Linked DNA regions of Diceros bicornis minor. The protein of the gene in region 1 purifies or fractionates together with the protein of each later gene. This does not show direct contact. Links are inferred from orthologs where the notes say so. Each region holds a gene or a part of one and is shown in the gene's direction. Other genes may lie near its edges. The genes, in order: INSIG1, SCAP, AMFR and ERLIN2.

Region 1 (7,611 bases):
AGGCCAGTTATAAAGGGGGCTGGTCTCTGGGTGGGGGAGGCAGCTAGTCTCCTGGTGGGGGCATCAATCTGATCTCCGGGTTGGGGCAGATATCTAGTCTTAGTTCCTGATAGTCTTTTGTTTTACTGGATATGCATCAGAGAGCAGAGCAACGCCCTCTACCCTGATCTGTCAGTTGTCATTGATGAGGGCTATCAGCAAAGACTCTGTGCCTGGGGTCATCACATTCCTAAGGAACTCAAAAGAACAAAGTTATTGACTTGTTGTAGCTGGCAGGGGCCATAAAATCCACAGAGCATGTCTGGGCTAATCGGAGGTCATTCAACGTTACAATAGGGTTTCTTTCTTACAATATGGCTTCCCTTATGTCAACCTTGCGTTGAGCCGGTATCAATATCACCCTGCTATCAAAACAGCGACATAACCAGTTCACATAAACTGGCATGACTGGAACCAAAAAGTCAGATAGCAACAAGCGTTGGCAAGGCTGTGGAGACATCAGAACCCTCACACACTGCTGATGGGAACATAAAACGGAGCAGCTGCTTCGGAAAAGAGTCCAGCAGTTCCACAAGCAAGTAGACACAGAGTTACCATGTGAGCAGCAGTCCCACCCAAGAGAAGTCAAAACCTTTGCTCACACACAAACACTCAAGAGCTTATTGCAGCATGATTCAGCACAGCCAAAAAGTGAAAACAACGCAATTGTCCATCAACAGGTGAATGGATAAACGAAACGTGGTATTTCCATATAATGGGATATCAATCAGCCATAAAAAGGAATGAAGTACTGATACACGAAACAAGGTGGATGAACTTTGAAACATTATGCTAAGTGAGAGAAGCCAATCACAAAAGACCACATAGTATATAATCCCATTCACATGAAACTCCGGGACAGGAAAATGTATAGAGACACCAAGTAGATCAGTGGTTGCCTGGGCTGAGGAGTAGAGGCCTGGAGGGTGGGGTGCCGGGTGGGTAAGGAGGATGACCGCTAAAGCACCCCGGGTTTCTTTTTGGGCTGATGAAAATGTTCTAAAATTGACTGTGGTGATAGTTGGGCAACTCTGTGAATATATTAAAAGCCCTTGAATTGTACACTTTAAATGGGGTAATTGCAGTGTTTGTGAATTATATCTCAAAAAAGCTGTTAAAAAATGGTGATGTAGTCTATACTGACTGACTTTGAAAGATATTTATGATCTCTGAAGACCTGGTTTCACTCCATGTGAAGTAGGATCCTACTTGTGCTTTTTTTAAAATGCACATTTATGTATAGGAAAAATATCTGGAAATACACACCCTAAAATGTTACAGTATCTCTAGGTGGTGGCATTATGGATTTGTTTTAAAATATATTTTTCCATATTTCCTGACTGTTTTACAATGAGCATGTGATATTTTTCTATTAAAAATAATAGGCTTAGCGTTCTATCCTATTTTTTAAAATATTTATTATCAATGGTTGTTAATGTTATAATAAAAAGCGTACTAGGAATACAGACTAAAGGCAGTAGATTGCTCACTACATGACGTCTCAAAGTCCTTAGGATACCCCACCATCCCATGATTCTTCTGGTCCAGAAGAACTACAGAGGTGTCGTGTCCTTACTCAGTGCTTTGGGGAGAAGGGATAGCACTGTGTTTAGTTTGTAAGCAATAGCAAGCTTTCCTTGCATAATAGAACATCTATAACGATTAATATAAAGTGGCACAATTAAGAACTAAATGGTACCCTGGATGGACAGAACGCAGCCCACAGGCATCCCTCCCACCTTCCCACAGGTCCACAGGGCTTCTGTGCTCCCCCCGGTTCAGTCTCAGTACAGATGCGAGAGGGGACAGAGTCAGAGAGGCTGGGCTGTGTTAGTCTCGGCTTGGGTAGAGAGAACAGAGTAACCAAATGAACAGACCTTACCACACCAATTAGCTAACAGAATTGACAGCCCCCTTTCACGCAGGAGAGACAAGACAGGAACTCATAAAATATTTTTGTAAGGTCTGTGCTTGTACATAAAGGGTACTACAGCTGAAAGAGATACTGGGATAGTCTGCATGGCTAGGCAGAATGGCAGGAGAAAAAAGGTAAAGAAAACCATCTTAGATCCCAGCAGGCAGATGTACTGATTTCTGTGCTGTAAGGAATCTCTGTGCACAGCGGCCAGGCAGATAAGCGAAGAGCTGCCACTCTGCTTGCTGGGCCTCACCCACCTGAATAAACCAGTTTTTGAAAGCTGATGTGCTAAACAGAAGCTTCCTGCATTTGCTGGCGTTTCCTAATTCAATCCACGACACGCCTACATTTCAGGGTCAAGGCTATGATGTAGGTGCATCTCCATGAGGTTAAAGCTTGATTTATACCAATGCTTCTCAACCTGTGTGTATGGGACTTGAGGCTGATGGTGGGGTTGGGAAGACACAGCACAGGCTTCTGATGGTTGAAAAAGCAATAACTCAATTATACAGCATCCCATGGTACAGAGGTGCCATCATTTATCTAATGAGTTTTCCATTGGTTGACAGTTGGGCAGTTTTTTATTTTTTTGCTATTACAAAGTTCCAGTGTTACTGTGATGGTATAAATACATATATCTTCATGCACTTAGGCAAGGTGGAGTGGAGCTAAGGGCCAAGACCCAGATTACGATATTTCTTGAAATCAGAACTGCTTTGAGCCTTTGGGAACAAAGCATACAGAGAACAGGGCTCATAGAGGCCTGTACAGAGCGTGAGAGCCTGACTCTGCCCGACCCACAGGGAGAGGTACAGAGGGAACCCCTCCATCCCATCCACTCCCACGTTGTCTGGGTCATGCTCAAGAAAGGAAAATAAGTCACATCATTAGCAAATGCTGTCTTGATTGAACAGAAGCGTTTGAGAGCAATTTTCAGTTTTAATCCACAATGATGACACTTTTTAAAATTTATCCTCTCATAGAAGTAAAAAAGATTAGGTTAAGTTAGAGCCAGGTTGGCATCATGGCTGGGTGTACGATCCACACCACAAACAGGCTGTGTGGCCCGTAAGTAAGCGGTGGCAGAAAAGAGAAACCAGTACTCACCCTGGGGCAGCAGCAACAAGCTAACAAACGGCAATGTCTTTACACAGTGCCTCTCAAGTTTCCCAGTGAACCACTTCTGACAGTCAAGGAGTATGAACACAGCCACTGTCAGCCTACTTTTCCCTGAACTCTCCTGTGCTATTATCACAAACTCACGTGAATCCCCCCAAATAAATGAACTTTGAGAAATACTGATACCTCAGGCAGATGTTTGAGGTTTTCTTTTTTTTTAACTTTCTGGCATATAGCCACAAAGCTTGATGTTGAAGATGCCACCCACAATGGTATTTCACGGTGCCCAAGCCTGTAGGGTCTCTTGGCCATGAGATTTGCTATTTAGAGCACAAACTTCCTCTCTCAATCTCCACGCATCAGCAGACAGTACAAAAGACCACAACCTCTTTCTCCGTTGTTGAGGAACGTGTTAAATAACACCATCTTGCTCAATAAGACGTGGGTTTTCAATTGGCACGAGGCCTGTCCTCCTATTTAGGTGGTGTGATATGGCAAACACGATATGAATACATTACTCCTCAACAAGGTAAAACAATATTTTATTTTTTCCCGAGTGGTTTTGATGATTTGCTTTCCAAATGTGAGGAAAGACAATTAGGGACAGGAAGAAATTATCATGTGAATGAAATTTTCATCACTTATATTTCCACAAAGGATTTTGTGTCAAAAAGGTTTCTGAATCACTTTGGTAGCTGGTAAACAAAGAAGTACCTTGAACATCCTTGCACTCACACAATAAACTACTATCTCTGCGCCCTTACTGCCTGCCGGGTGCCTCCTGGTCACCGCGTGCATGAACTCGCTTTCAATTAGCAGGGGGGGTGACCACCGGGAGCGTCAGGAAGCCGGACACTGAATGGAGGTCAGAGCATCACGAGGGGACTCGGCAGGTGCAGAGCGCGGTCACCCGACGACGACGCGCGGAGGGCAGCAGGTTAGGAGGGAGGCTTATCAATCGGCCAGGTGTGGGCGAGGATCTAGAGTCCAGTTTGTTCACGCGAGGGATGCCCAGCGGCCGGCGGCTGCGTGGATCTGAAAACGGCTCTCCCGCCTTCCCGTCGGAATCGGCGCGCGATGCATCGGGCCGGGCAGCGGGGAGCCGGCAGGAGGCCGCACCGGGGCCGCGGAGCGGGGAGGCCCGGAGCGCCCGCTCTTCCCTCCCCAGCCCGGTCCGTGCCTCCAGCCCTGTCCCCGGGTCCGCCCCCCAAACCCCGTCCGCCCCCGACCCCGCGCCCGGGGCGCCCTCGCTCCCCGCGGCCCCGTCCGCCCGCCGTCCGTCCGTCCGCGCTCCCGAGCCGGCGCCGGGCGCGGGGCGGCGGTGGCGTGTGCTGACGTCATATGGGCCGCCCGCCCCCGATTGGCCGCGGCCGCCTCACCAGACAGCGAGCGCACGGGCGCGCGGGCGGGGCGGGGCGCGCGGAGGCCACGCCCCCGGGCGCGTGGGCGGGGCGGGCGGACGGGCCGGGGTCACGTGACCCTGCGCCCCGCCGCCCGCTTTATAAGTCTCTCCGCGCACTGGGCGCCGCGGGCTGCGACCCTTATCCGCGACCTCCTCTCCCGGCGAGCCCGCGGGCGGGCGCCCCTGGATAGGTGCGTGCGGCGCGGCGGAGCGGCCGGGGGGCCGAGGTGGAAGGGGCAGCGGCCAGGGTGCGGCCGGGAGTGTCGAGGGTGGGATGTCGAGGGCCGGGCGCCCCCCACCCCGCAGCCTCCCCTCCCGGAAGTGGGGCAGACGGCCTTGATCGCGAGCTGCGGCTCCCACCCCGACCCTCGGGCCTCGGCGTACTCCCCGACCCCAGCCCCGGGCCGGGGCCGGCACCCCTGACCCCAGTGGGCTCGTCTGTGGTTCCCTCCATCCGGTAGGAGCCCAGTAACTTGTCCTGCCGCCCCGCTAGCCTCTGCTTCCTGCGAACGGGCGGAGTCTGCAAAACTTTTGGACTGGACGGGACCAGCACTTCAGGGTTTATGCGGAGGAGCACTTGGCGGGTGGGGAGCTCAGAGGGCTCTGCAACGCTCGGGCGACCTAACACCTGGCTGTCCCTGATCGCAGCCCTCGCTTCCTCCGTGGGTGCCCTTGCCAGTCCATCCCCGTGGTACTGCGGTGTGGGCTGCCCTGTCCGGCTGAATCCCCAAGGGACTAGGGAGTTTTCCTGCACGAGCTGGTGATGGATGTGAGCATAGCCTTCCTTCTGACGGGCTCTTCCAGACCTGCCGTGTCGCTTGGAAATGAACTTGATGGCGATTCCTCCTCTCCGACCCCTTTTTTCTTCTAGGAAAGTCTGCCTGACTCTGGTGACTGATGCCCAGATTGGACGAGAACTTCTGGAGCTGTTCCTGTGCTGACCGCCTGAGGCACAGAAGCCACCCGAGAGCCGGTGCCGGAGGGCTGGCGGCCAAAGTGGGGGAAATGATCAACTCCTCCGCGTCCGGCCCTTCTCGGCTGATGGCCCCCCGTGCCCTGGACACTGACGCCTCTCGTGGGCTGCGGAGCCCTGGTGTGGGGGGCCGTGGTGGCAGCAGCGGCCACACTAACAGCTGGCATCACCACTTGGTGCAGAGGAGCCTGGTGCTTTTCTCGGTCGGGGTGGTCCTAGCCCTGGTGCTCAACCTGCTGCAGGTCCAGAGGAATGTCACCCTATTCCCTGAGGAAGTGATTGCCACCATCTTCTCCTCAGCCTGGTGGGTTCCTCCCTGTTGTGGCACAGCAGCTGGTGAGTAGAAAGAAAAGATGGCTGTTTGGTTAAAAACGCTCTTCAGCCTATGAGAAACATTTGTTTGAAAATGGAACATCCACAGAGGACAAGTGTGCGTCTCCAGTCCTTGTATTTAGTGGGGAAGGGGGTGGAGAGGATATTGAACCCCCGGATGCTAGTCTCTGGAGCTTGGAGAAAGCTCAGTGATGGAGATGAGGTGGGGAGATAATTGGCTGTTCCGGGCTTGTGCCAGGCTGCCGAGGCCCTTCCCCCTTACTGACCTGGCAGTGGGGACAGTGTTAGGGGAGCCCCACAGCTGTCATCCCGAGCGAGTGGCCCCCGGATTGGCCACCTGCAGAACTGGTGAGCCGCGGGACTGCACTGCTATTGGTTGCCCGCGAGAACATGCTACGCTGCTGGGTGACTGAAAACAAACCTGTCACGTGGGCACAGTGGGCAGAGGCGTTGCCAGGGAGCAGCCTCTCCCACTTCCTTTTGCAGGATGGCCAAGTGGACGTGGCCAAAGCCAGACCTTTCCCCCAGAGCTGCTGAGGAAACAGTAACCCCTCGTTCAGGGTTTACCCCTCGTTCAGGGTTTAGGTGTGAGTTCCCGTAACTAGTCACGGAGATGCCGCAAAACATGACTCTGGGTCAGTCTAAACTGTGGGCAGGTGGACTGCCTGTTTTTAGTAGAATTTCTTGGTTATTTAGCTGGTTTTATTAAAACGCTGAATTGCTCTTGGCCTAGAAGATCACTTAGTGCTGCTCTAGTCACACGTCATTCACGGATTAACAAACGTGTCCACTGCTCCTGCAGCCTCCAAGTCCACCAGCTGCTGAAGCGCAGGGGGAGTGGGACAGAGGGCAGAACAGGCGTGTGTGGGTGATGGCAGGGTCGCAGGAGTGCCCTGCCGTTGGCTCTGTAGCTGACACGTGTGCACTGTGATGCCCACGTCGCATTTTATGTGCTTTGCTTCCTTTCGTCCTTGCAGCACTGCTCTGCTACAGCTCCATTTTACAGATGGGGATCACAGGGAGACTGAGTGCCTGTGTCCAAGGGGCCGCAGCCAGTAAGTGGCAGGGCCACTGTTCATAGCTCTGCACACAGCCTCCCTGGAGTCTGGGTGTCTCCCCTATACTGTGGAAACACGTCACCTTCTCGGCAGACTCACTTAAAACAGCAGGAAGGCGTGAGGCTTGTGATGGAGAGCCTGGTTCCAGCTAGGACAGTCATCAGAGCCATACTGTAGTTAGGAAGCAGTGGGTAGACTTTTCATCTTTGTTCTCAGAAAGATAGGGTCCTACTTTGTTCTTTTAAACACTTTAAATATCTGGCTATACTATTAAAAATCCTTTTTGAGAAATAGATCTAGATGCAAAATTCCATTTTTCATACACATTTGGCGCAGTAGTTTCTTTCTTTGAATCAAAAACTTGATCTTAAAAATGGAACAGTTTAGGCTTTATTTGTAATTGAAGCTTCAAGGAATTCCAGGAATATCTGAAACACAATTTTTCGTACCCTACTCTTTTTTTTTTTTTTTTTTTTACCATCAGCCAAGAGCATAAGGGAAAAATTCCATAGTGCCTTTTCACCTATTTAGCTTTTCACCTTAAAAGGTAAGATTAAGTTATAGTGAAGTAAATTATAGAGCTGTTTGGGTTCCATTTTAGAGTTAGAACTTGATAAAATGTAATATGAAATTGAAACTGAAAATCTTTCATTTGAATGTTTAGCTAAAACTGTGTTTCTTGTTTCTCTGTTCAAGAACCTAAAATGGTGACGTCTTTCATAGAACACCCGGGTGGGACAACTGTGTGGCTTTCCAGCCTCGGTACCTG
Region 2 (8,011 bases), on another chromosome or scaffold:
TTATTTAGCCTCTCCAGGCTTCAGTTTTATCATCTACAAAAAGGGGAGACAATAGTGCCTGTTTTATGGGTTTTAAAGAGTTGTCAGGGTCAAATAAGTGATGACGTGTAAAGTAGACCTGGCACATGGTTTAAGCATTAGCTACTGCTGCTGTTCTTATCATCTGGCAAACTCGCACCTTATAAGGCACTCATACAGCATCCTCTTGGTGATTCTTGCTCTTTGGTTTCCTGCCAACCAACTCCCTTCCACGCGTAGGACTTGGAAGCTCAGTGGGAGAAGTTCAGGGGCTTTGGGTTGGGCAGATCAACATTTGATGCTGCCTCTGCGTGACCTCAGGCAAGTTGTTAAAGCTGTGGGTTCTTCAGTTTTTGCATCCTTAAAACGGGGTTTATTTTACCTGCTCTAAAGGCCATCATGAGGATTATATTATAAACCCTGTCGCTGGCAAGGAGCCAACAATCAATAGTTTGTCATTATTATTGGTTGCTATTATGACCTCTGTAATAACCTTTATCATATTGCCTGCAAGGTTTTGTTTAAAGATATGCACTAAGACAACTTCTCTAGTGCAGGGAATTAACTTCTTATATCCCTGGTCTCATACATGGTAGGAACTTGATAGGTAATAAAGGAATTGAATGAGTATCAGTACAAGTTGGAGATTTTAAATGTTTTTAGTGATTGTATCATGGCTATTAGAATGGCTACTGTTTATTGGTACCTAGACATTTTACATGTGTTCACACTGATTTAATTTTTTTTTGAAAACTACAGTGGTTGATGTTCTTGGTTGCGTCTTGGAACCTGACTCCTAAGTCGAAGTTCCCTGAGGTTAAATTAATTTTCCTGGCCACAGAGCAGCTGCTGCATGTCAAAACGAGGATTCAAATCCAAGAAGTCTGGCCCTGAGGCAGCCCTTTCCACTTTATCATGTTGCCAGCTGCTATCACTAATGCTTAATTCATGGTGAGCATGATTATTAGTGCAAGCAATTGCAAAGACAGACCGTTATCATTATGAAACATCCTCCTCTGTGTCCATAACAAGCTGAGGTGGCTGGGCAGTGGGCTGGAACCCAGAGTCCTGGGTCCTAGACTGTGGCTGCCTGGTCGGTTATCAGAGTGACCTTGGGCAAATCTCCCCTCTTGAGGAAGCTTTCTTCATTTGTGAAATAGACCCAGCCTCTATTTTGTCAAGATTGTCATGAGGATTTGCCCAGCCTGGAAGCTGAAGTACTGGGAATTAATACTTCTTGATGATCTCTAAGCTCCATTTAGTTTTAAAATTTTTTGAATTGATCATTCCCATGAGGAGCAATCTGAAGTAAGCTTCAGCTTTGGCTAGTTAGGGCTAAATGGAGCTGTTCCACCTGAATTACATTTAAAAACTAAAATCAGCTATCTGCAACTTACCTGGAAATGCATAATAAATAAGATGATTGGTAGGTGGATAAAAGGATAGATTTTTTTTTTAAGATAGATATAAGATACTAAGTGAAACATTAACAGTTGTAAAATCTAGAGCATATAGTCATTAACTGTATGGTTCTTTTAACTATTCCCTGTTTTCATAATAAAATGTTGGAAGAGAAGCCCTAAAATCATGGCCACTGATTGGGGGGCATTCTGTGGCAGTCTCACCAGGGGCTCAGGAGCCTCAGCTTCCCCACAGGGCTGAGACAGGAACCAGCCTAGGAGACAGGGCTATCTGCAAAGCCCCTGGCCTAGCAAGATAAGACTCCTAACCCATCCGCAAGCTAGGAGAATCAGATAGAGACCACCAAGATCCACATTCCGCAGTTTCGAGACTTTCCTGGGCTTACGCATGTGCCCTAGCACCAAGCAGTTGTCTGAAGGTGACCCTAGCCCCATTACCATATTAAAAATCACAGCCAGGGGTGGAGAGCCAGGATGCTAATAATACATGCGTCACACATAGTAGCATGCTACACAACAGCACAGGCACAAGCACAACCCTACCTCTACATGCCAGGATGAGGCACTCATTCCCTAGCCTTTGCCTAATAAAATGCCCGAAAATCTGTCTCCCTAAAGAACCTGTCACCTGCCCCTTTTCCGCACCGGCTCCCTTGTGCCTCTCCTGTGCACAAGCTAATAAACTTTTACTTTTCTACTTCTGTTTGTTATCTGTCTTGATTTCTATCCTGGCGGACAAGAAGGACCCAACATGCCGGTAACAGGGCCTCGGTGGGTTCTCCTTGGGCAGTGGAGGACACTTGATAGCGCTGTAAGCACAGAGGTACTTAGCTAAGTGCTTGTCAGTTCTGGGGGCTTTTGTGTTTGGAGGAAAGTGCCCAGACCTTGCAGAGGCTCAGTCCCCTGCAAACACAGGTTTGGTGGAGTGGTCTGGTTGGGTGGGAAGGGGTTGGTGAGTAAGGAAGGGTGACAGCAGTCCCCAAAATACAGTCTGGCTGTCTAAGTCCCTGCTGCGGAGGTTGTGAAAAGCCAGGCCCTCTCTAGAGAGAAGACTCTGGTCCAGTGGGTCTAGGGTACGGCTCAGGAAGACTATTGGTTTAACTTTAAATATTTCCCAGGTGATTCTGCTGAGGCAAGTTTGGAACCACATTCTTTGTAGGAACTTGGCAGTAAAAGGGATTGGGACTCAGTCATGCAGGCTCACGGTAGTTTCACTCAGAAAACTAAAAAAGCTGGATTGACTTTATATTTGCCCAAAGGAACAAGGCAGTGGAGAGAGAGGGAAGAACTGGTGACAAAGAAGTGAGATCCTTTTTGCTCATGACTTCTGAGGGGCCGGCTGATGGCATTTCAAGGGATTAGATGTGGACAGAGTGATGTGAGGATGGGTAAGGGGTCTAAGACTCCCTCACACTACTCTTTTGCTGCCTTTCTCTAAAAATAACAAACAAAAAAAGAATTCTTCTTTTATAGAATAAAAATTCTCATCTAAAGCAGAAAGCCAACTTTGAATACAGGGCATAATTTTTTTTTTTTTATAATTTTATTTATTTATTTTTCCCCCAAAGCCCCAGTAGATAGTTGTATGTCATAGCTGCACATCCTTCTAGTTGCTGTATGTGGGACGCAGCCTCAGCATGGCCGGAGAAGCCGTGCGTCGGTGCACGCCCGGATCCGAACCTGGGCCGCCAGCAGCGGAGTGCGCGCACTTAGCCGCTAAGCCACAGGGCCGGCCCACAGGGCATAATCTTAAAGGTCACTTTGGGCCAAGGCCAATTGTCCCCATTACTATTTAATTTCACTGTGACAATAGTGTGGTGGGCAGGGAGGGAGGCAAGACTTTGGCGGCCTTGGAGATGTGGCCTAGAGTCCAGTGGGAACAAGGTTGAGGGAGAGGATAGACTCTGAAGAAGGCCTAGGAAAGACAAGGCGGCTGGAGCTGCCAGAAGGGCCGCCTCTAATTTCTCCCTTGCATTGTGGCTATATCTGCACTTTAAAGCAACCTCAGCGCTGCAGCCCTTGAGGGCAGGAACAGAGTCTGCTATATGCTAGTAGCCTCCGCTGGGTGCCGTGCCGGTGAACTGAGCGGCTGAGCATGGCTAGGGCAGCAGGGTGGGGCGGGGCTGACCCCTGACACTGGAGACCCGGGTCCGCGAGGGCGTGGGGTGGTGTGATCAAAGGGCAGCATCCTGGGATGGGCCAGCGTTGGGCGGGCCAGGACCCGACCCCTAGCCCAGGGGAAGCCTCCCCTTCCCGTTGTGTGGGACCCAATAACAAGACAGACCTCGGGGTTTTCGGGAAGGTGGGATGAGACAAAGTGTGCGAAGTGCTCAGCTCAGCACTTGACACAAGAATAAACATTCATTGGACATTGGGCCGGCCCGTGGCCTAGCGGTTAAGTGCTTGCGCTCCAATGCTGGCAGCCTGGGTTCAGATCCTGGGCGTGCATCGCCCGGCCGCTTCTCTAGCCATGCTGAGGCCGCGTCCCACATACAGTAACTAGAAAGACGTGCAGCTATGACATACAACTATCTACTGGGGCTTTGGGGGGAAAATAAATAAATAAATAAAATTATAAAAAAAAAACCATTCAGTGGACATTGCTATTGCTATTACAACAAATACACTTTCCATGTAGAAAATGGTTAAACACCCATCAGCAAATGGAAAACACCCAACACCCATACTCCTCCACCCAGAGAACTCCACTGACCACACATCAGTGTCACCCTGGACCCCTCTCCTTGGATTGTTCTTAGCAAAAATGAGCTCAGACTCTACAACTCATTTTGAACCATCTTTCAAGAACTTTCAACAACAGTATTTGTAAAACTAATCTTTTTAAAGGCTGTAGAGAAACTCATGGACGTAATTTATTCGACCCATCTGCATTTGTTGTGTCTCTGGGCTGCTTTTAATTTTTCGTTGTTATAAAACAGGGAACATGGGCATCTTGTGCATGTTTTTTTTTTTTTTTTTTTTTTGTGAGGGGATCAGCCCTGTGCTAACATCCGCCAATCCTCCTCTTTTTATGCCGAGGAAGACGGCCCTGGGCTAACATCCGTGCCCATCCTCCTCCACTTTATATGGGACGCCGCCACAGCATGGCTTGCCAAAGCAGTGCGTCGGTGCGCGCCCGGGATCCGGGCCAGCGAACCCCGGGCCGCCGCAGCGGAGCGCGCGCACCCAACCGCTTGCGCCACCGGGCCGGCCCCATGTGCATGTTCTTGATAATTCTCAGGAACGTGTAGTCAAAAGCCCTGGTGCGGTCCTTACAGCCCTATCCCATCTTGACGCCCCGCCCCGACGGCCCGGCTCTGCCCTGTACCACCACCTCTCCCTCCCTTGGGGTTGTGTGACTGGCGTCCGCCAGGGGGCGAGCGGGAGCCGCGGGCGGGGCTCGACTACGCATGCGCGCGCCATCGGGAGCACGTGTGGAGAGCTGCGGGGGTGGGAGGGGAAAGGTAGGAGGTGAGAGGTGAAGGGGCGGAGAGCTGCGCGGGCGCCAGGCTACCGGGAGAGAGGGGGCGCGCGCGCTACGCACCGGACCGCGGGCCGGGAGCGCGCACGCCGCGCCCTGCCGCCGGCGCCGCCGCCCGGGAGCTGCTGCTGCCACAGGTACCGCCACGGGTCCGGAGTTGGGCCTCCTGCCGCGCAGCCGGGGAGTTCCAGGATGGGGGCCGCCGGGGGCACGGGCGCGCAGGCGTGGGCGCTGTCCAGCAGCCGTGCGGGCCGGGCCGGGCCGGGAGGCGGCAGCCGGGAGACGGGACCAGGCCGCCGCGTCCCCACCCCGACTGCGCCCCCCATCCCTGGCCCCGGGTGACCTCTGCCTGGAGAGGTGGTCGCGCCGTTGCGCCTCCTGGCCTCGCCGTTCCTCGGGAAGCTGTTGCTTCTAGAACCTGCTTTTGGGCTGTCTGGGTTTTCCAGAGTGAGAGGGAGAGCATGCTGTCTGTTCCTGCCTCTTTTGGAAGATCTAATTGAGAGGCAACACGTAGCTTTTTTGGGTTTTGTTTGGGTTTTCTGTTTTGCCCAAACCTAAACTTTGCTCACGGATGTTACCTGTTTACTTCTAGGTGGGTCTGTTAGCTCAGTATATCATACAGGATTATAATGTCACGATAGCATTAGTTGCAGGGAGCCTCGGATCCAGACTGTTTGAATCACAGAAAGTTGTACAGGTAGAAATGCTGTTGGCTGAAGGGACAGGGAGTCCCTGGGGGGGCTCTGGGAGGGGTTCCCCCTAATTTGGGCCACTTACTGCCCCACGTTCTGAGGTGACAGTCAGAGCTGTGTGACTAAACTCTTTGTGAGGATTTTGTAATAATTTTTGTGAAGAGAACACAGAAGAGGTTTCTTTAATGATGTTAGCTTTGTGTGTGTTTCTTTTATCTGGCCTCATGTTTTGTGGAGTTTGGTTATGCAGTGTCCTTACTGGTGTTGTGCTAAAGATTGAAGCTTTTACAAGGGAGTCAGGGTCAAGGGTGTCTGGTTAGCACTGAGTACATTTTAGGTGTTCCCGAGTGATACCTAATTGATGACCCGTATCTTTTAAAATGTATGTTAATATAGTTTAGGTTTTAGGTGTTTTACACATTTGCAGCATTCCCACTGGACAAACGATGTAAAAAACACAAAATATGTGTAAATGTATCTCCATATTTATTCTTTTGGTAATAGATTGAAATTGAAAGAATTACTTCTTATTTATTAGGAACTAGTCTGGTGTTTGAGAGCTCTCTCTCTTCTTTTGCTGTTGTGGCAAAACTGCACCTCTCCAGAGGTCTCCGTATATTTCATAATCCTCCCTGCCCCCACCAGTTATCTAGATGAGTTTACTGTTGTGAGGTGGGTAAAAAGTCTGCTCCCAGTTTATGACTAGAAAATGGAGGCATAAAGATTGTGAATTGCCTGAGGTCATATATGAGCAAGTAAGCTGTCCAGTGGGCAACAAACCATACCTGTGGGGATTAGTACACATGCATTTATTAACATTTGGTGGTAGACTTTAGGGATGCTCACTCTCTTAGTATCTAGCCATGCACGTGAATGCGTCTCAAGGACCCTGGAATGACACTTAGCTTTATGTACTGTTTGCTTATCCTCACTTTGGTGGCCATTTGCTGGCCACTAGTGGTAGTTTCACTGGCTCTAATGGGTACTGCATATATGGTTTCTGTCATCACTCACAATAAACAGATGAGAAGACTGTCCCTCATAGAGAAACTGGGTTCTCAGGGTCACCCAGCTGGTAAGTGGTGGATCAGGCCTGCAAACCAGATGTGCTTGACTGTACTACCTGAGCTACTTCCACTGTAACTTGGTCCCTTCCTGAGCTGGCCGATGAAACAAAGTCCAGGTGACTTCTTTTGCCATCTGAAGTAATAATTCTGGGTGAAATATTTATTGAGCATTTGTGCTGTCTAGGTACTGTGCTAGGTGCTCTAATAATAGCTTATCTCACTTAATCATCATAATAACCAGGTGAGATGATACTGTTATCACCCCCTTTACTGGTGAGTTTTAGAGATGTTATCTGACTGGCCCTGGGTCACCTAGTGAATTAGAAGCAGAGCCCAGGCGTAAACCCAGGTTTGTCCGGCAACGGAGTCCGTGCTTTATGCTGTTCTTGCATCTGTTGGCTTCACAGTCTGCTCTGTTGCCCATTGGCAGGTGAGAGCTAGCAGAAGAAGGTGATCGAGGTGAAGGGAGGAATCCAGCATCATAGACTTCAGTCAGCGGTGGTGGAACTCAGAAAGGAGATAGCAATTTGGCCCCTGCATTTGACAGCTTCCACTTGAGTGGTCAGGGGCACTGCCGGAGGATGCTTGCAGGGTTTCTGGGCCATATATAAGCTTTGCAGTGGAGTCCAAAGAGGAGGAGGGTGTGAGCATGAAGGGTGCACGTGGGTCTCAGGAAAAAAAGAATTAAAACTGATCTTTGTGTTTATTTCGGCCTTCATTTTTATTATGTATTTTATAATGTACACTATATTATCACAGTACATATATAATTTATATATAAATATACATATATTGGGGACATATACTCAGATTTTTGTTGTTGGGGATTCATAATGAAAAACATTTGATAACCACTGGTTTATTTGATATTTTAGCATTTTCCGAATGCATAAATTACGTAAGGCATAATTATTAGCCTTACATTAGCACATGTAAGGTGCTAACCATTTGTTCCTGAGTTGGAAGTCCAGTGAAACTCAGTGTAATTCCTCATTATCAGAGAGAATGGTATTTCATATTAATAACCAATTATAAATTATTTAAAAAATTGCAGTCACAAGTAGGAAAGAGGATCTGGTATTTCAATAGTCTTTATGTCTCAAATATAGCACCAAGCTTAAGTTTGAAGCTATAGTGACTGATAAAGCCCTTTAGAAGTTAGATTTTGGGGCCAGCCCCGTGGCTTAGCGGTTGGGTGCTCACGCTCCGCTGCTGGCGGCCCGGGTTCGGATCCCGGGCGCGCACCGACGCGCCGCTTCTCCGGCCATGCTGGGGCCGCGTCCCGCATGCAGCGGCTGGAAGGCTGTGCAGCTGTGACACGCAGCTATCTAC
Region 3 (7,038 bases), on another chromosome or scaffold:
CTTTTGGTTACTGTGCTTACATCATAGTGTACAAGCATCATTTATAGTTTGGCTTTGAGGATTTTTCTGGCATTAAGTTTATAGAAATGTATAAAAGAAACTGTTTAAGTTTTGGTTATATTTTTATATTTGTAAAGTAAAAGTTTGATTAAAATGGTCACTGTTTTTTTATTTTATTGTCATTTCAATAAAAAAAAATTTAAAATAGAATGACTGATTGTTTGTGTGGCTCCAACCTTAGTGTGCCATTAGAAATCCTGCAGGGTTCTTTTTCACTGTTAGTGGCTAGGGGCCATTAGGTGAGAGACAGCTTGACGTAATAGCAAGGGCCTGAAGACCTGGGACATCGATGTTGCCCTCCCCTCACACTCCTCCATTGTGTGTTAGCAGTGTTCATAGGCAGATTCAGTTTCCTCCAGTGTGAAGCGGTCACTGGATTTGGTACCTGGTGCAAATAAATGCAAATAAAAAATAACCTTATATTATTGGGTTAGTTTCACCTATTCTCATAGCTGGGAAGATTGGGATTTAGAAATTGCCTCACAATTGTGTTAAGTCTGTGTTGTTATATCATTGAGGACTCCATTTCCTCATCTATAAAGAGTGTTCACTCCTACAGTTTTTTTTCCTCAAACTTGCCAGACAGTCGTGATGTTCTGTGACACCATGCTTGCTGCTTATGTAATGCTGTGTAATTTAATTTCAGCATCTTAAATAGAAACAATTTATACCCAAAATATGAGAATGTATGTGTAATAAAACCATAGCCTTGAGGCTTTATAGCTGAACAAATATTGAACAAAACCTGATAAAGTTATTGCAAAGTTCTGAAAATTTTACTACTTGTGTATTTTATAGCAGGCACCAAAGAGCTATGAAAAATTATGAAAGAAAAGGTAAAGATTGAAATATACCCATTAACTTAGTTTTTTCCGCACAAACTTGAGGAGTTGGTTAGTTTTCCTCTTCTGCTAGATTTAGTAGTGGAATACATTGGTCCAGCTAAGGAAACACCGGAATTCCATGGGAGTCCATTTAAGGCTACTGGATTAGATAATGATGTTCAGTTCCTAGGACGTTGAGAATCTTAACAAAAAGCTACTCAGCCCTTCTCACAGGATGGTGAAAATCACATGAGGTCACGCATATGAAAGGATTTCAAATATTTTAAAAAATGAAAATAGCAATACTGTATCTAGGTGTGAATCTTACTCCATACAAACTCTGGTCTGTTTGAAATGACACATTTCCTTTAAATCAAACTAAATCAGAGCCATCATCCCACAAAGATGGAAGGAAATTCAGTCTCTCAGTCACTATTGGGAGTGAGGACCCACCCAAAGTCTCACAAGAATCCAGAAGGCATAAATGGTACTCTGAAATGAAAGTGGGGGTGCGGAGAGCTCTGGCTTCCGTCACGGACTCCACAGACCCTTTCTTGTCCAAGCTGGACCAGGCCCTTAAAGTCTGGTGCTGTTGCCTCCATGTCACACTTGGGCCTTGGAACTTGACTGATACAGGTAGTCCCTGTGCCTATGGTCCAGCCTTCCTGGGTACACTAAATATTCATCCCTTCTGTCTCTTGCCTCCTCCCCTGGTCCTCTCATGGAGCAGGATGCAGCACAAAGAACCAGAAGCATTAGCTGACTTTAGAAGGTGGGTTCCGTCCTTGCCAAAAAGAAGCCATGAGAGATGGATGTGCAAAAGCCTGGTTACCTTCTTGGAAAGGGAAAGGAAAAAATGTTGGTAGAACAAATACTAATTATCCTAGTAAAATATCCAGACACAAACATCTAAAATCTTTTAAAATGTGAATTAAAAATTATATAGTTAGGTTAATTTCACCTATTCTTATATTGAATATTGAGAAAGTTCAAGCTTCTAAGTTTAATTTAGTTAGACTAGTTTTAATATAGTCAGAGCCAAAAGTAAAAAGTTGCTATTAGACACTTCACAAAGTCATTCCAGAAAACAGGTTGTCTAAAGTTTTTTTTTAACACTTAGAAAGTAGTGGTTATCTCAAAATATAATTTAATAAAGAGTATAGCACTTTGAAATTCAAGATGGTGGAATATTGTACCTTAATAAGGGCAGATCTATTAACAGCAGCCTCTTATGGTGATGGGACACAGTTGGTGTGGTATTATGTAACTGTAATGTGACTTAGACTGAATATGGATCACCTGATAGTGTGGTTTAAAAATTATGGGAGCTCAGATAAAGTAGAACAGTAACTTCCCTGGAAAATCGCTATCTTCATTTTTTCAAAATAAAGCTTTCCTTTATTTTACCAATAAAGTTGAAAGTAGCGTTTTAATCAAATGGCTGCAGGGTGGAGAACCAAAGGGAACTGAAGTCTAATATTCATATAGACTTCATAAACAAGTATGTGTAAATTCACATGGACATTGAGCTCTATATGAGGTCTATATAGACCTCATATAAAAAAGTTGGTGTGTGGCCCCCACAAAAGCCAAACTGTTCTGTTCCATCACAGGCCCTTTAATAGGATGATCCTAAAACTTCCAAAGTAGATGGTAATAACCTTGAGAGATCTTTTTTAGTTTCCAATTAGTAGGCTTTTCGAATTAGAGTATTAGGTATAAAAGAGATTTTGAAGACAATTTCTTTTCTTTTGAAAGTTTGTAAGATGCATCAAAAATTGACTGAGCACCTGCTGTGGGCCAGGCACTATTACAGGCCTTGGAGATACAATGAAGAATAAGACCCCCAAGCTAACATTTTTTTTTTGGTAGCACTTTTTCTTTGTAACAGCTTTACTGAACTATAATACACATTGAGATATATCTCACCATTTAAAGCGTACACTTAAATGATTTTTAGTGTATTCAGAGTTGTGCAACCATCACCACAATTTTAGAACATTTTCATCACTTCAGAAAACCATATTTAGTTTTTACCCTCCAGTTCCCTCATTTCCCCATCCCTAAGCAACCATTAATCTACTTTCTGTATCTGTAAATGTATTTGCCTGTTCTGGACATTTCCTACAAAGAGTCACAATATGTGGTGTTTTTTGTCTGGCTGCTTGCAGTTACCATGTTTTCAAGGTCCGTTCACGTTGCATCAGTACTTCACTCATTTTTATGGCTGAATAATATCCCATCATATGGATATCCCTTATTTATGGATTCATCACTTGGTGGACATGAGGGTTGTTTCCACCCTCGGGCTATTATAAGTAATGCTGCTACCAACATTTGTGCACAAGTTTTGTGTGGAGGTATGTTTTCACTTCTCTTGGGTGTATACCTAGGACTGGAATTGCTAGGTCAAATGGTTACTCTTAGGTTTAACTTTTTGAGGAACTGAGAGACCGTTTTCTGCAGTAGCTGCACTATTTTACATTCCTACCTAGTGTACGAGGGAACACTTTTATTTCCCGCTAAATGCGGTTCGTTTTAGACTGTGCGAGGCTACTAGCAAACAGCAGAAACTGAAGACAGCTTTGTTGGGGAGAAATTTCAGACTGTTAATAGTCTTTCTTTGAGGTCAAGGCCTCTATTATTCCCTAAGCACCATCTCCTCTTTCGGCCACCGGGGAAGCTGCTAGGCCCACAGGGGTGCTCAGGGGCAACCTGCTTAGGAGGGGTTAAAGGGAACGAAGGGCCAGGCGGCCGGACGCCCGGTGGCCCGGGTGCCCGCGTCCTGCGCGCCGCCACGCGGCCTGGGCCCCACCGCCCGTCAGCGCCGCCGGGCCTGAGTGCGCTTCGGCTCGGCCGGGCGGGTGCCCCGCGCGTCCGCGGGCGGCGGAGCTGGGCCGGCGGGGCAGCACGCTGGGCGCTGGGCCTTGGCCGGCCCGGCGGCGGCGCGAGCGCTGGGGGCGGGGGACGGAGGCCGCGCCCCCGCGCCCGTCCCGCCCGCACCCTGCGGGGGGCGGCGGCCCGCCCCGCGCCCGCCGAGGCTCTTCCGCGCCGGCAGGGGCAGCAGCGGCAGCGGCGCGGGGCGGAGCGGCGCGAGCAGCCAGGAGCGGCCCGGCCTGGCCCGGCGCGGCGGCGGCGGCGGCGGCGGCAGCGGCGGCAGCGACGCCAGAGCCCGTGGGCGCCGTTCGCGAGGCCGCCGCGGCGGCCTGGCCGCAGCGCGGGGAGGCCTGGGGGCCGGAGGCCGCCGCTGCCGCCATGCCGTTGCTCTTCCTCGAGCGCTTCCCCTGGCCCAGCCTCCGCACCTACACGGGCCTCAGCGGCCTGGCCCTGCTCGGCACCATCGTCAGCGCCTACCGCGCCCTCAGCCAGCCCGAGGCCGGGCCCGGGCGCGGCGAGCAGGAGTCGCCAACGGCCCCGCTGCTGCCGGAGCCGGCCGCGCTCGCCCGCCCGAGCGCCGGGGGACCCCGCGCCCGCGACGTGGCCCAGTACCTGCTCTCGGACAGCCTGTTCGTGTGGGTGAGCGAGGCCGCCGCGAGGGGCGGGGGCCGCCATGTCACCCATTATCTGTGGGGGGCGTGGCTGGGGCCCGGGTCCCCTCCCTGGGGCCCGCCGAGTGAGAAGCCTGGGGCCCCGCCCGCGAGCGCGCTGCCGGAGGAGGGGGGCTGTGGGGCTGGCCCGGGGCGGGAGGAGATGGGCGTGAGGAGGCGCGGCCGAGTTGGAGGGCCTGAGGAAGGGGTCGGGGGGGGCGCGGGGGCGCGAGGGAGGGAAGAGGTTAGGTGCTGGAGGGGCGGAGTAGAAGTCAAAGATGGGGAGCGGGGTGGGGGTTCCTGAGGGCCCCCCGGGGAGGAGACTGGAAGCCCTCAGAGAGCAGGCTCGGGGGAGGCTGGGCCCGGCGGGTCAGTGGCCCCGCTGCTGTGTTCCCTGGTGGAGGGAAGCTGACAGGCCTTTCTGACCCGGTCGTGCACGGCAGTGTTGTAGGGTTTCCCCTGGAGAGGAGAGGGCACAGCCGGAATTCGGGGTCGAGTCTGGGAGCATTTAGGCATTTGGGTGTTTGGACGTTCCTATTCGGCGAGAGGCCGTCTCCCACCACTTTTTTGCCGTTTAGCCTGCGATTGTCCTCTTTGGGTCAAACAAACCTGCAGACCGTGCTTCCTCTCCTGCCGCTCTCACCTGGTGATTCGTCACGGTTTCCTTTGATGTCTGAAGGCAGCAAAACACTCATCATTTTAACTCAGGATTTCTCCTTTTGGTGATCCATTTTAAAACAAGGTTTCCAGTTCGTCTGTCAATGCACGATAAGCAGCCTTTACAAGGCAGACATGCTGGGTTCGCTGATTAGAACAGATAATTTCAGGCGGGGCAGATCAGGAGTATTTTGGCTAAAGAACTTTGCTTCCGCCTTGGCCTAATGTAAATACTTCTTTATATAAACCCTACAGTGATCAGAAAAGTTGCTGCAAGGTTGAAGTGTGTCGCTTGGATATACTGTGGCGTCTTGAGTCTTGTCCCCTCCTGAGAGTTCCCATTTGGGATGGAGAGTAGGCTGTAAATGACTGAGATTAGTATTCCAAGTATATAGAATGATATACAACTCATTTGTAATAATTAATCCCACTGTGCTTCATCAGGAAGCAGTGGGATTTAGGAACTCCGTGGGCTGTGGATTAAGTCTCCTGGTCCTTCTCATGAAGAGATTAGTGGAAGGCAGTGGAGGGTGAGGTTCGGGTGCTCTGCTGCTGTGAAGTTGGACCTTACAGAACTGAAGACGGGAAAAGTGAAAGAACTCAACTCCCATCTCTTGTTTAATTTCAGATCTATTTTTGTGTTTGACTTAAGCAGGTAAACAAGTTAAAGTGATGTGAAGAGGGTTTTTGCCAGATGTTAACATCATCATGTAGTCTTTGACATATTTTTTTAAGTATAAGATATGAATAAGCCTTTGAGAAGGAACCACTATAGTATTTATATAACAACTACTAGTAGTGATTCGTGATTCTTTTTTCCCTCGGAGTTTCTTTTTACAAAACCCACGTTCAAGTTCCAAGGTTAACAGCTCTTCATAAAATATTACATAAAGGCCTGTTGATTTTTCTGTGAAAATTATTACTTTTAAGAAAGTTTCCTTTTCTTCCCAGCTTTTTCAGTAAAGGACTTGCCTCATGCAAGTTTGACATTTCTTCCTGTCTGTTTCCTTTCTCAATTGATCTTCTTATTGTTTTTCTTCCATCTTTGCTCCTTGGTTTTCACGCTTCCATCATGGCCTTCCTTGGTTTCTCAGACCCTCAGCACCCATTACATGGTTTCTGCTTCACTAGCTGAGTAGGAATCACAATCTCAGAGGCCTTCCTCCGTGGGCTGACTGATAGCTTTATTGAGTGAATATGTGGTGGGGCCTTTGTCAAAATGGATCTGTTTTGCTCTCTGTCCGAAGGCATTCAGATTCAATTTTTTAAAACCAAGCAAGACAAAACAAAAGCTGATCTTTTGGCCAGTTTGCAATCTGGCTGCTATTATTTGGTGTATTGGAATGTCTAAAACTTATCTTTGTAGAGCACAGTTCAGATTAGTATGGGTCTGATAGCATCTCAAGAGGTTTTTGGTTAACAAACTCATTTCAAAACCCTCAAAGGTACTATTTGGAGCACTCTGGAGGGCATGGCTGTGAACACTTTCCCCCTACTCTCAAAGCAATCCATATACAAATAAGGCAAAATTCGATAAATGATAGTAGATATATAAAGAAAATATGGTGGAGTTTGGAGGAAAGAGAAAACGATGCCCAGGGAAGGATGCATGGAAGGTGATATTTGAACCCAGCCTTGGAAGGTGGGAAGGGTCTCAGCAAGCAGCAAAGGGCATTCCAGGTAGAGAAAACAGCATGTGAAGCTCAGACTGGAGTATGGAGGACAGGGGAGAGCACGTGCAGAGCGGTTCATAAAGTCGGTTGTTAAATTGAAATTACATTGGATCCTTTCATTTAAGAGTGAGGTTGGGAAGGTGAAGGGGAGACCCAGGAGTCACAGGAGATGGGGGAAGTGACCCTGCTGTGAGAGAAAGGGAGAGGTGAGCAACCCCTCTGAAAGTGTATTTTTCAAAGTGTGGACCTCTGGCAACCTGGTTCATTGTCACCTGGGATACTTGTAAAATGTTGTTT
Region 4 (7,249 bases), on another chromosome or scaffold:
TGGAGAGTGAGGAAGTAAAGACAGCAACCGTAGGTACTTTTTCAAGAAACTGCTCAAAAGGAAGGAGACAAATCACGTGAGAACTAGAGGTTTATGCAGGGTCAACGGAGGGGCTTTAAGAGAGAGGAGAGAGAGGGAGACTTGCACAAGACTGCAGGCTGCAGCTCAAGATCTGCTAGAGTGAGGAGATCGTTGAAGGCTCTAGGTTCCTGGAGGATGAGATTAAGAATCCAGGTGGAAAAGACTGGCCTAGAATAGAACATGGGTTTCCTTATTCTTTGATATTAACATACCAGGCACATAAGGTATCTCTTTGTCTACAGCAAAAAGGCATCTATCAATGATATAGAGAGATGTATGTGGACAAAATGCCATACAATCTTTTTTTAAAAATTCCTAAAGTTACTATGGATTCAGAGATGTCAAATGAATGGTCATCCCAGGCAAAACAAGCCAAGCCACACCTCTAACCACCAGGCCTCTCAGCGCAGTTTCCCAGGGTAGCAGGCTGCTTTCCCATTACTCCCCAAAGGCGCTGTGGACCTTAACCAAGTCCCCTTTCTGGAGACTTCCTCCCCTGTGCCCTCTGTTTCTCCATGAGTGAAATAAATGGGTTAGATTAAAATCACAGGCAACAATGTATATGTCCATCAACAGATGAATGGGTAAACAAATTGTTTAAATAATTCTACAATAGAATATTACACAGCAAGAAAAAGGAATGAACTATTGACATACTCAACAACATGGATGAATCTCCAAATCATTATTCTGGGTAAAAAAAATCCAGACAACCCCCCCCAAAAGAGTATATACTGTGTGATTTAATTTATATGAAATTCTACAAAATGCAAACTAATCTACAATGACAAGCAGATCAGTTTCAGCTTGGGAATTAAGGAGTCATAGAGAGGGGTGGGAGGGAGAGATTACAAAGGAGCTTGAGGAAATTTGGGGGCATGAGTCATGTGTTCATTATCTTGATTGTGGTCATATACATATGTCAAAACTTATCAAACTGTACACTTTATAGGTACTTTATTGTATGTCAATTATACCTCAATAAAGCTATAAAAACATATAATCACAAAATGATCTTTTAGGTGACTACCAACTGACTTCCAACTCAATTTTTTTTTTCAAGACTTCTCTTTGATCCCTTTACCGAACTCCCTTGAAGAACCCCAAGCAAATATCCTTTTGTTGTTAGAAGGCACCAATCCTGGTTTTTCCAACTGAAAATAAGAGGGGAAAGTTCTAAGTATCCTTCTTAAGAATTAAGGACATAATTCTTCACTCCTCTTCCCCCAAGCTCACCAAAATCGTACTGGGATCAAATGTCCTGAAAGATGACTTCTAGTCTCTGTTTAGAGCATAAAATAAGAAGAAAAATCAAAATCAAACAAAAACGTTTTCCAGCAACTTCCACTCTTGTGATATAAATGAACTGAAGCCAAAGATGTTAAGAGTTGCCTGGTTCCTTTGGAGTTAACCACCTGGTCATTAATAAAAAGGGCTCTAATTGTGAAAGAAGGGGTCTCTTCTATCTTTGAAGTGGCACTCTCACCAACAATTAGCTTGTTAGAGGACTAAACAAACAGCAATCCAGACATAGGGAGATGTGGATAGCTGTCATGGGAGTATTTTTTTTTTTTTTATCATGCTTCAACTTACAACTGCACAAAAAGAACTGGCCCAATTTAAAGTTTCGCAACTTCTGACCATCGGTCTACATTCCTGAAAGGTTACACGTGAAATAAATGTGGTGTGTGTGTGTTCAGTTGAATCATTAGTTCCTAATTCATTTACTATAATGAAGAAATAGACTTGGGATTATTTGAATTCTGTCTTTGCAATTCACAAGCTTTGTGATCTTGGGCAATCCCTCAACTTCTCTAGGCTTCAAGTTCCTCCTCTAAAATGGAGTTGACCTCAAAGGGCTGACCTGAAGATTGTATAAAATGAGAAAGGCATAGGCCCTGGGACATGGAAAGCACTCACTAATGGTTTATGAAATCTGCATTGTAAATATCCATTGAGGTATCATTTCAGAGACCCTTATCTCTTCTGATAAGCCTTCATTGGGTTATTACTCAATACCACATAACTTTAATTTTATCCTTCCCTCACCTTTTGTCATATTGATAATCCAAATCCACAAACAGGCAAGAACACATTAATGGAATCTGCTATTTAAAACGGCAATAGCTAACACTTAAAATGTGCCAAACGTTTTCCTGATTTGACATTTAATCCTCACAACAGTCCTATAAGGTTCAGACTATTATGACCCCCATTTTACAGATGAAGAAACTGAAGCACAGATAGATTAAGTCATTTTCCCAAGGTCACACAGCTAATAAGAGGCAGGGGGAGGGGAGGCAGCCCCAGATGTAAACCCAGGCAGTCAGCCTGGAGTATCTATGCTTGGCCACCATACCTCGATTTTTTAAAAATGGATTTTTAAACACTTTTGTTAAACAAATCCCCGCAGACTTACCTCCATGATAACTTTGGATATTGAGTCATAAAAATCACAGGTCTCTTAAGAAAGGGATTTTCAGAAATGTTAGATCATCATCTACTGAAGTCCACCCCCTGCCTCTCGATGGGGCCACAATGGGACAACTCAGGCCTGGTGAGAAGGATCCCAAGAACAAAATCCCACAACTTCCGCTCATAGTTCATTCCCAAGTTTCACAGTCAGGAAATTCTTAAATTACAACTAATTTAAATCCTTTATGCAGGCTAAGCCCCATTCCTTGGGCTGAAACCTCAACATTTCCATTTCTCTTACTCATTCACCCAACTATTAAATAAACCTTGATTAAGCATGCCCAGCTGAGTTATATCACCGCACGGGGAGAGAAAAAAGCTCTCAAGTTCTGACAGGATCAATCAGGAGATTGACCAAGAGTGCGGGCATGCGCGCGTGCTGGGGGTGGGATTTCCAGTGGGGGGCGGTGGGGAGAGGTCCTCATGTATGGAGGTGAACACAGAGCTCCCAGGCAGTGCCATGCAGCCCACTTGTGGCCTTAACCATATAATGCTGAGCCATCCCCACACAAAGTCCCAGAGCAAACCCGCAGAGGGAGAATGAGCCAGCCCCAAGCAGCCATGCCTGGAAAACCTACAGTTTCCTATTCCTGTGTCCTAAATCTACCACCACTAGCTTGCCATCTTCCCCGTGTAAAAGCTTTTCATTTACTGAAGGTTGTAATGAAGTGGACTCCAACTTTCTCTTCTGCAAATAAAATAACTTCAGTGGCTGAATTAGAAATGCCCCAATGTGATGGTGCTGAACAGCGAAGGCTGCGGACAACGGGAGGCCCTTAGACTAGGAGAGGCAAAGTCTGGATCCTGGTCCCGGTCCCGCCACGCCTTCAGTCTGTTTTGACTGAGCACCTGAGCACCCGAGCACCCGGGATGCTGAAGGGAAGAGGCAATCCCTGCCCTCAAGGAACTTACAGTCTAGCCAGGGAGACAACGAAGCGCACAAGCCCCTGTGTCCTGCGGCAGGAGTTAACTTACAAAGGCAGTTAAGGTCCTGATGTTAAGGAAGCGCAAAGGAGGCTTTCATCCACTGTTACCCTCGCACCTCACTGATCTTAGATTTCGTTCACTCAAGTTGGGATGATTCCTTCTTAATCGACTTTATGGTGCGGGGACCTCAGAGGCCAAAGCTCCTAGAAAAGCAAAAAGGCAATTCAAAGCAGCGACTGTTGATTAGCGACGTAAGGGTGCTAATCTGCACATTTAAAAGACCCTGCGAGCACAGGGCTAGAATGGTTGCAACTCGCTGGGACCTGCTCCGGGAAAAAAAAAAAAAACAGGCTTGGCCTAATGCGGAGGGGCCTCCTCAGCAAACTCCAAAGTCAAAATCTCGGAAAGTGACACCCTCGGTCTCAGCAGCCGCGGTCACCCTCCACGCGCTCCGCGCACCCCAGCCCTGAAATCCCAGAGCGCAGTGTTGACCGCCCAGACCGAGCCGCGGGCACCCCCTGGCGGCCACCCGCGGACACTGACCGCTCGGAGCGCGAGGGCGGGGCGAAGAACTCGGCAGGGAGGGAGTGTGATCCTCTCGCGTGGACTAATGGCGTCATCAGAGCGACGGGTCCGGAAGGAAGTAGCGTGTCGAGGGGTGTGGCGGTTTCTGCGGTTGCACAGGAGGTCGGACGAGTACGGAGCGCCTGGAGGGACAGCCTGGTACGCGGCCCCCGCCCCTTAGTGGGCGCGCTGGGCCTAGTTGCGGCTGTCGGCCGGAGCCGATGAGCGGTTCTCCCGGGCCCCCGCCCCAGCAGCCTCGCTCCCTCAGCCGGCCCACTCCGGGAGCGAGAACGCGACGCTCCTCTGTCCCTTCCCTTCCCGCGATCCCGCAGGCGGGACCGAGCGGAGGCTCTCGGAGCCCAGCCCCTCCCCAGGGCGTGTGGGACGCGCGACCCTCTCTCGGAAGAGGACAGGGAAGGGGCGCGAGGTGGGGCGGGGTGACCTCGGGGAGGGAAGAGCTGTTGCGGAAAGGATGCGGCTGCAGATCGGTAGCAGGAGGCCGCCACCGTAAAATAAGCGCCTCGCGGGTGTCCGCGCCCGAGCTATGTTGGACCCGGGCGGCAGAACCCACGCTCTGCGCGGGTGGGCCGCGCACGCCTGCCTGCCTTCTGCTGCCCGTTACCATAGGGTTTCCAGATCATTCAGTGTTCGGAAAATGAGTCTAGATGCCAACTCTTTCGCATCCTGGTGCCTGAACGCAGTTGTCCCAGGAGCCCAGAGTCCTCCCAGCTTGGGGAACCCCCTTTCTCTAACCATGGAGTTGGGACCTGTCAGGGGCAAAGTGTCAGGTATATGGGAGGGAGTGTGTCTTCAGTCTTGTTCAGAACCCTGTCCCGTGAAGGGCCAAAGGAATAACTGGGAAGGTGCATGACAGGCCAAAGAATCCCACCTTGGACCCCTGCTCGCATGCTGTCTCTGTCGCTCCAGCATCTGAAAGGAGTAAATAATGGTTTCCTGTGAAATGACGGGCAATTAGGACTGGGAGGCTCTGACCAGAATTACATAGCCACAACTGCCGGTCATCTGACATCCTCTGTAATTTGGGCCAACATACTGCAGCTGCCTCTCTTCCCTTTTACTAGTATGAGTGGCTCCAGTGACAGCACGTGCGTGTTCACAGGAAGGGAAGGCTGTGTTCTGAACGCTGCCCAATTAGCACGGGTTCCTCGGGCCACGGCTGGAGCCACTGCCTTTTCAAGAGGTGGGAATATAGTTCTACAGTTAAGGAATGGGAATGTTGACTGAGAACAAGGTTTGAAGAGAGTTGTAGACCTAGCCATGTGTTGATACTATAGCAGGCTGGATAAGAGCCGCTTTGAGGGAGCTCAGCTTGGTGAGGTGCTCTTGCTGTCATAGCTTGTCTCCTGCATCAGACCACACACATTTTCCCGTATTTTTTTCCTAGGATAAAGGTTCACTGATGGCTCAGTTGGGAGCAATTGTGGCTGTGGCTGCCAGCTTCTTTTGTGCATCTCTCTTCTCAGCTGTGCACAAGATAGAAGAGGGACATATTGGGGTGTATTACAGGTAAGGCAGAGACAGGGAGAAACTTGCAACTTCCTCTTACATGACTCTCCTTCCTAATCACTGTCTAGCAGATTCTGCTGGATATCTGTGTTTATATTTTGTTGAATAGGGGAGTCTTTTAGATTGAGCTTTTGTGTCAGTGACCATGGGGAGGGGAATACACACACATACATATATACACATATATAGTTGTAAATATACAATTTAGTAGTCTAAGTTGGTGCCATGGGTGGTGATTGATAAATGTGTATAGATATGTAGAGACAAAACCTAAAGGAAACCAGTGCTCCTTGCAGATCATCTCTGAAACATTGTTTTCTCCTACATCCCTTTGGGCATCTTGGTGCCACAAGGTTACCTCTGATGAGTACCAGTTCTTGATGGCAACTTGAGGAGCTAGCCTGCTGTGCTAATTTGAACCTACTGTTTAAAATTAACATTTCAGGAAATGTGAAAGAGCCTGCAGGTTTATTTATATTAATTAAGGCAAGCCTGAGGATAGTGGTTCTTACAATAATGGAGCCCATTATGTCACTATTTTATTGCTCTTTTTAAAAAAAAAAATGTATCTTCGACTTCATAATGTAAAGTGAAGAAGCACTTATAAATCTTGAGGTGCTTTCCTTTTAGTAACCTCCATAACCAAGTTGTTGCTTTAGCCTTTATGAACCCCTTCGTGTATGTGCCCTATGATGCTTATTTCTAGATTTCCAATAGCAAGTTCTAAATGTCTGATTGAGTTTCCCTCTCTACTTTAATTATTTCTCCCCACCACCTGCTTTTATGTCCCCAAAAGAGGCTTTTAATTTTGTTATTTACATATAACTTGATTAAAAGATAACTCGCCTGCCAAAAAGTAATATATTAAAATGATTTCTAAAGCATACTTAAAATTATTCTTTTGGTTGTTCATGTCACTGGACTCCAACATTAGTGCAGTTAATTGATGGCAGTATTACTGCATTTAACTGCCCTAATGGATTTCCACAAACTCAAGGGATATGACAAAATAAAACAGACTTCCTCTCTTATCTGAAGTACAGCCAGGGATTCTGCTGTCTTTATTCTACTTAACCTGTGTGCCTATCTTTCTCACTGCAAAAGCGTGAATAATGGTTTTATGTTTTACCATCAGGCTTCCTAGAATATTACAGTTGAGCCAAGAGGAAGAAAGGGATCAGTGGACGTGGCTCTGACACATGTCACCCTATATTAAACGTTTGTGGGGCTGAAGAGAAAGTTGGCCGAAACCATGTTGCTGTAATAGATACCTCTTGCTAAACTGAACCTGCCTCTCTCTTCCTCCTCTGCAGAGGCGGTGCCCTGCTGACTTCCACCAGCGGCCCTGGTTTCCATCTCATGCTCCCTTTCATCACATCATATAAGTCTGTGCAGGTATACTTGGCTTGTGTGGTATGGATGGACGACTGCAGATTTGGGGTGCTGACTAATGCATGATTTGGAATTTAGCTATTGGATGAGTATAATACCTTTTCAAGGAATCATTTAAGAGTCAGTTTTATTTATATATGTATATATATATAGAAAGAATGAGGCTCCACGAGCCATTTACTCTGGAGCTTGATTGTTGAACTAGCTGAATGGGGTCATTTCCTTGGCCCATCAGCCCCAGTTGGGCATTATTTCTTCACTTCAAGACAAAGCCAGGGAGGAA

The links.
Region 2: the proteins of INSIG1 (region 1) and SCAP purify together in Homo sapiens (affinity purification with western blotting; 11 studies listed by BioGRID and IntAct, with this or other methods). This does not show direct contact. The link is inferred for Diceros bicornis minor from reciprocal best matches to the Homo sapiens genes INSIG1 and SCAP.
Region 3: the proteins of INSIG1 (region 1) and AMFR purify together in Homo sapiens (affinity purification with western blotting; 6 studies listed by BioGRID and IntAct, with this or other methods). This does not show direct contact. The link is inferred for Diceros bicornis minor from reciprocal best matches to the Homo sapiens genes INSIG1 and AMFR.
Region 4: the proteins of INSIG1 (region 1) and ERLIN2 purify together in Homo sapiens (affinity purification with western blotting; 4 studies listed by BioGRID and IntAct, with this or other methods). This does not show direct contact. The link is inferred for Diceros bicornis minor from reciprocal best matches to the Homo sapiens genes INSIG1 and ERLIN2.

Annotation. Positions count from the first base shown.
Region 1 is NC_080742.1:100,132,275-100,139,885, forward strand, and holds the start of INSIG1 (insulin-induced gene 1 protein), read left to right. Parts: upstream 1-4,596; 5' UTR 4,597-4,669; intron 4,670-4,941; exon of another isoform or gene 4,942-5,247; intron 5,248-5,349; 5' UTR 5,350-5,375; coding exon 5,376-5,787; intron 5,788-7,611. UniProt on the Homo sapiens protein: Oxysterol-binding protein that mediates feedback control of cholesterol synthesis by controlling both endoplasmic reticulum to Golgi transport of SCAP and degradation of HMGCR.
Region 2 is NC_080741.1:48,816,875-48,824,885, reverse strand, and holds the start of SCAP (sterol regulatory element-binding protein cleavage-activating protein), read left to right. Parts: upstream 1-4,997; 5' UTR 4,998-5,057; intron 5,058-8,011. UniProt on the Homo sapiens protein: Escort protein required for cholesterol as well as lipid homeostasis.
Region 3 is NC_080771.1:9,983,623-9,990,660, reverse strand, and holds the start of AMFR (E3 ubiquitin-protein ligase AMFR), read left to right. Parts: upstream 1-4,019; 5' UTR 4,020-4,139; coding exon 4,140-4,400; intron 4,401-7,038. UniProt on the Homo sapiens protein: E3 ubiquitin-protein ligase that mediates the polyubiquitination of lysine and cysteine residues on target proteins, such as CD3D, CYP3A4, CFTR, INSIG1, SOAT2/ACAT2 and APOB for proteasomal degradation.
Region 4 is NC_080768.1:34,488,530-34,495,778, forward strand, and holds the start of ERLIN2 (erlin-2), read left to right. Parts: upstream 1-4,247; 5' UTR 4,248-4,914; coding exon 4,915-4,986; intron 4,987-5,452; coding exon 5,453-5,574; intron 5,575-6,887; coding exon 6,888-6,969; intron 6,970-7,249. UniProt on the Homo sapiens protein: Component of the ERLIN1/ERLIN2 complex which mediates the endoplasmic reticulum-associated degradation (ERAD) of inositol 1,4,5-trisphosphate receptors (IP3Rs) such as ITPR1.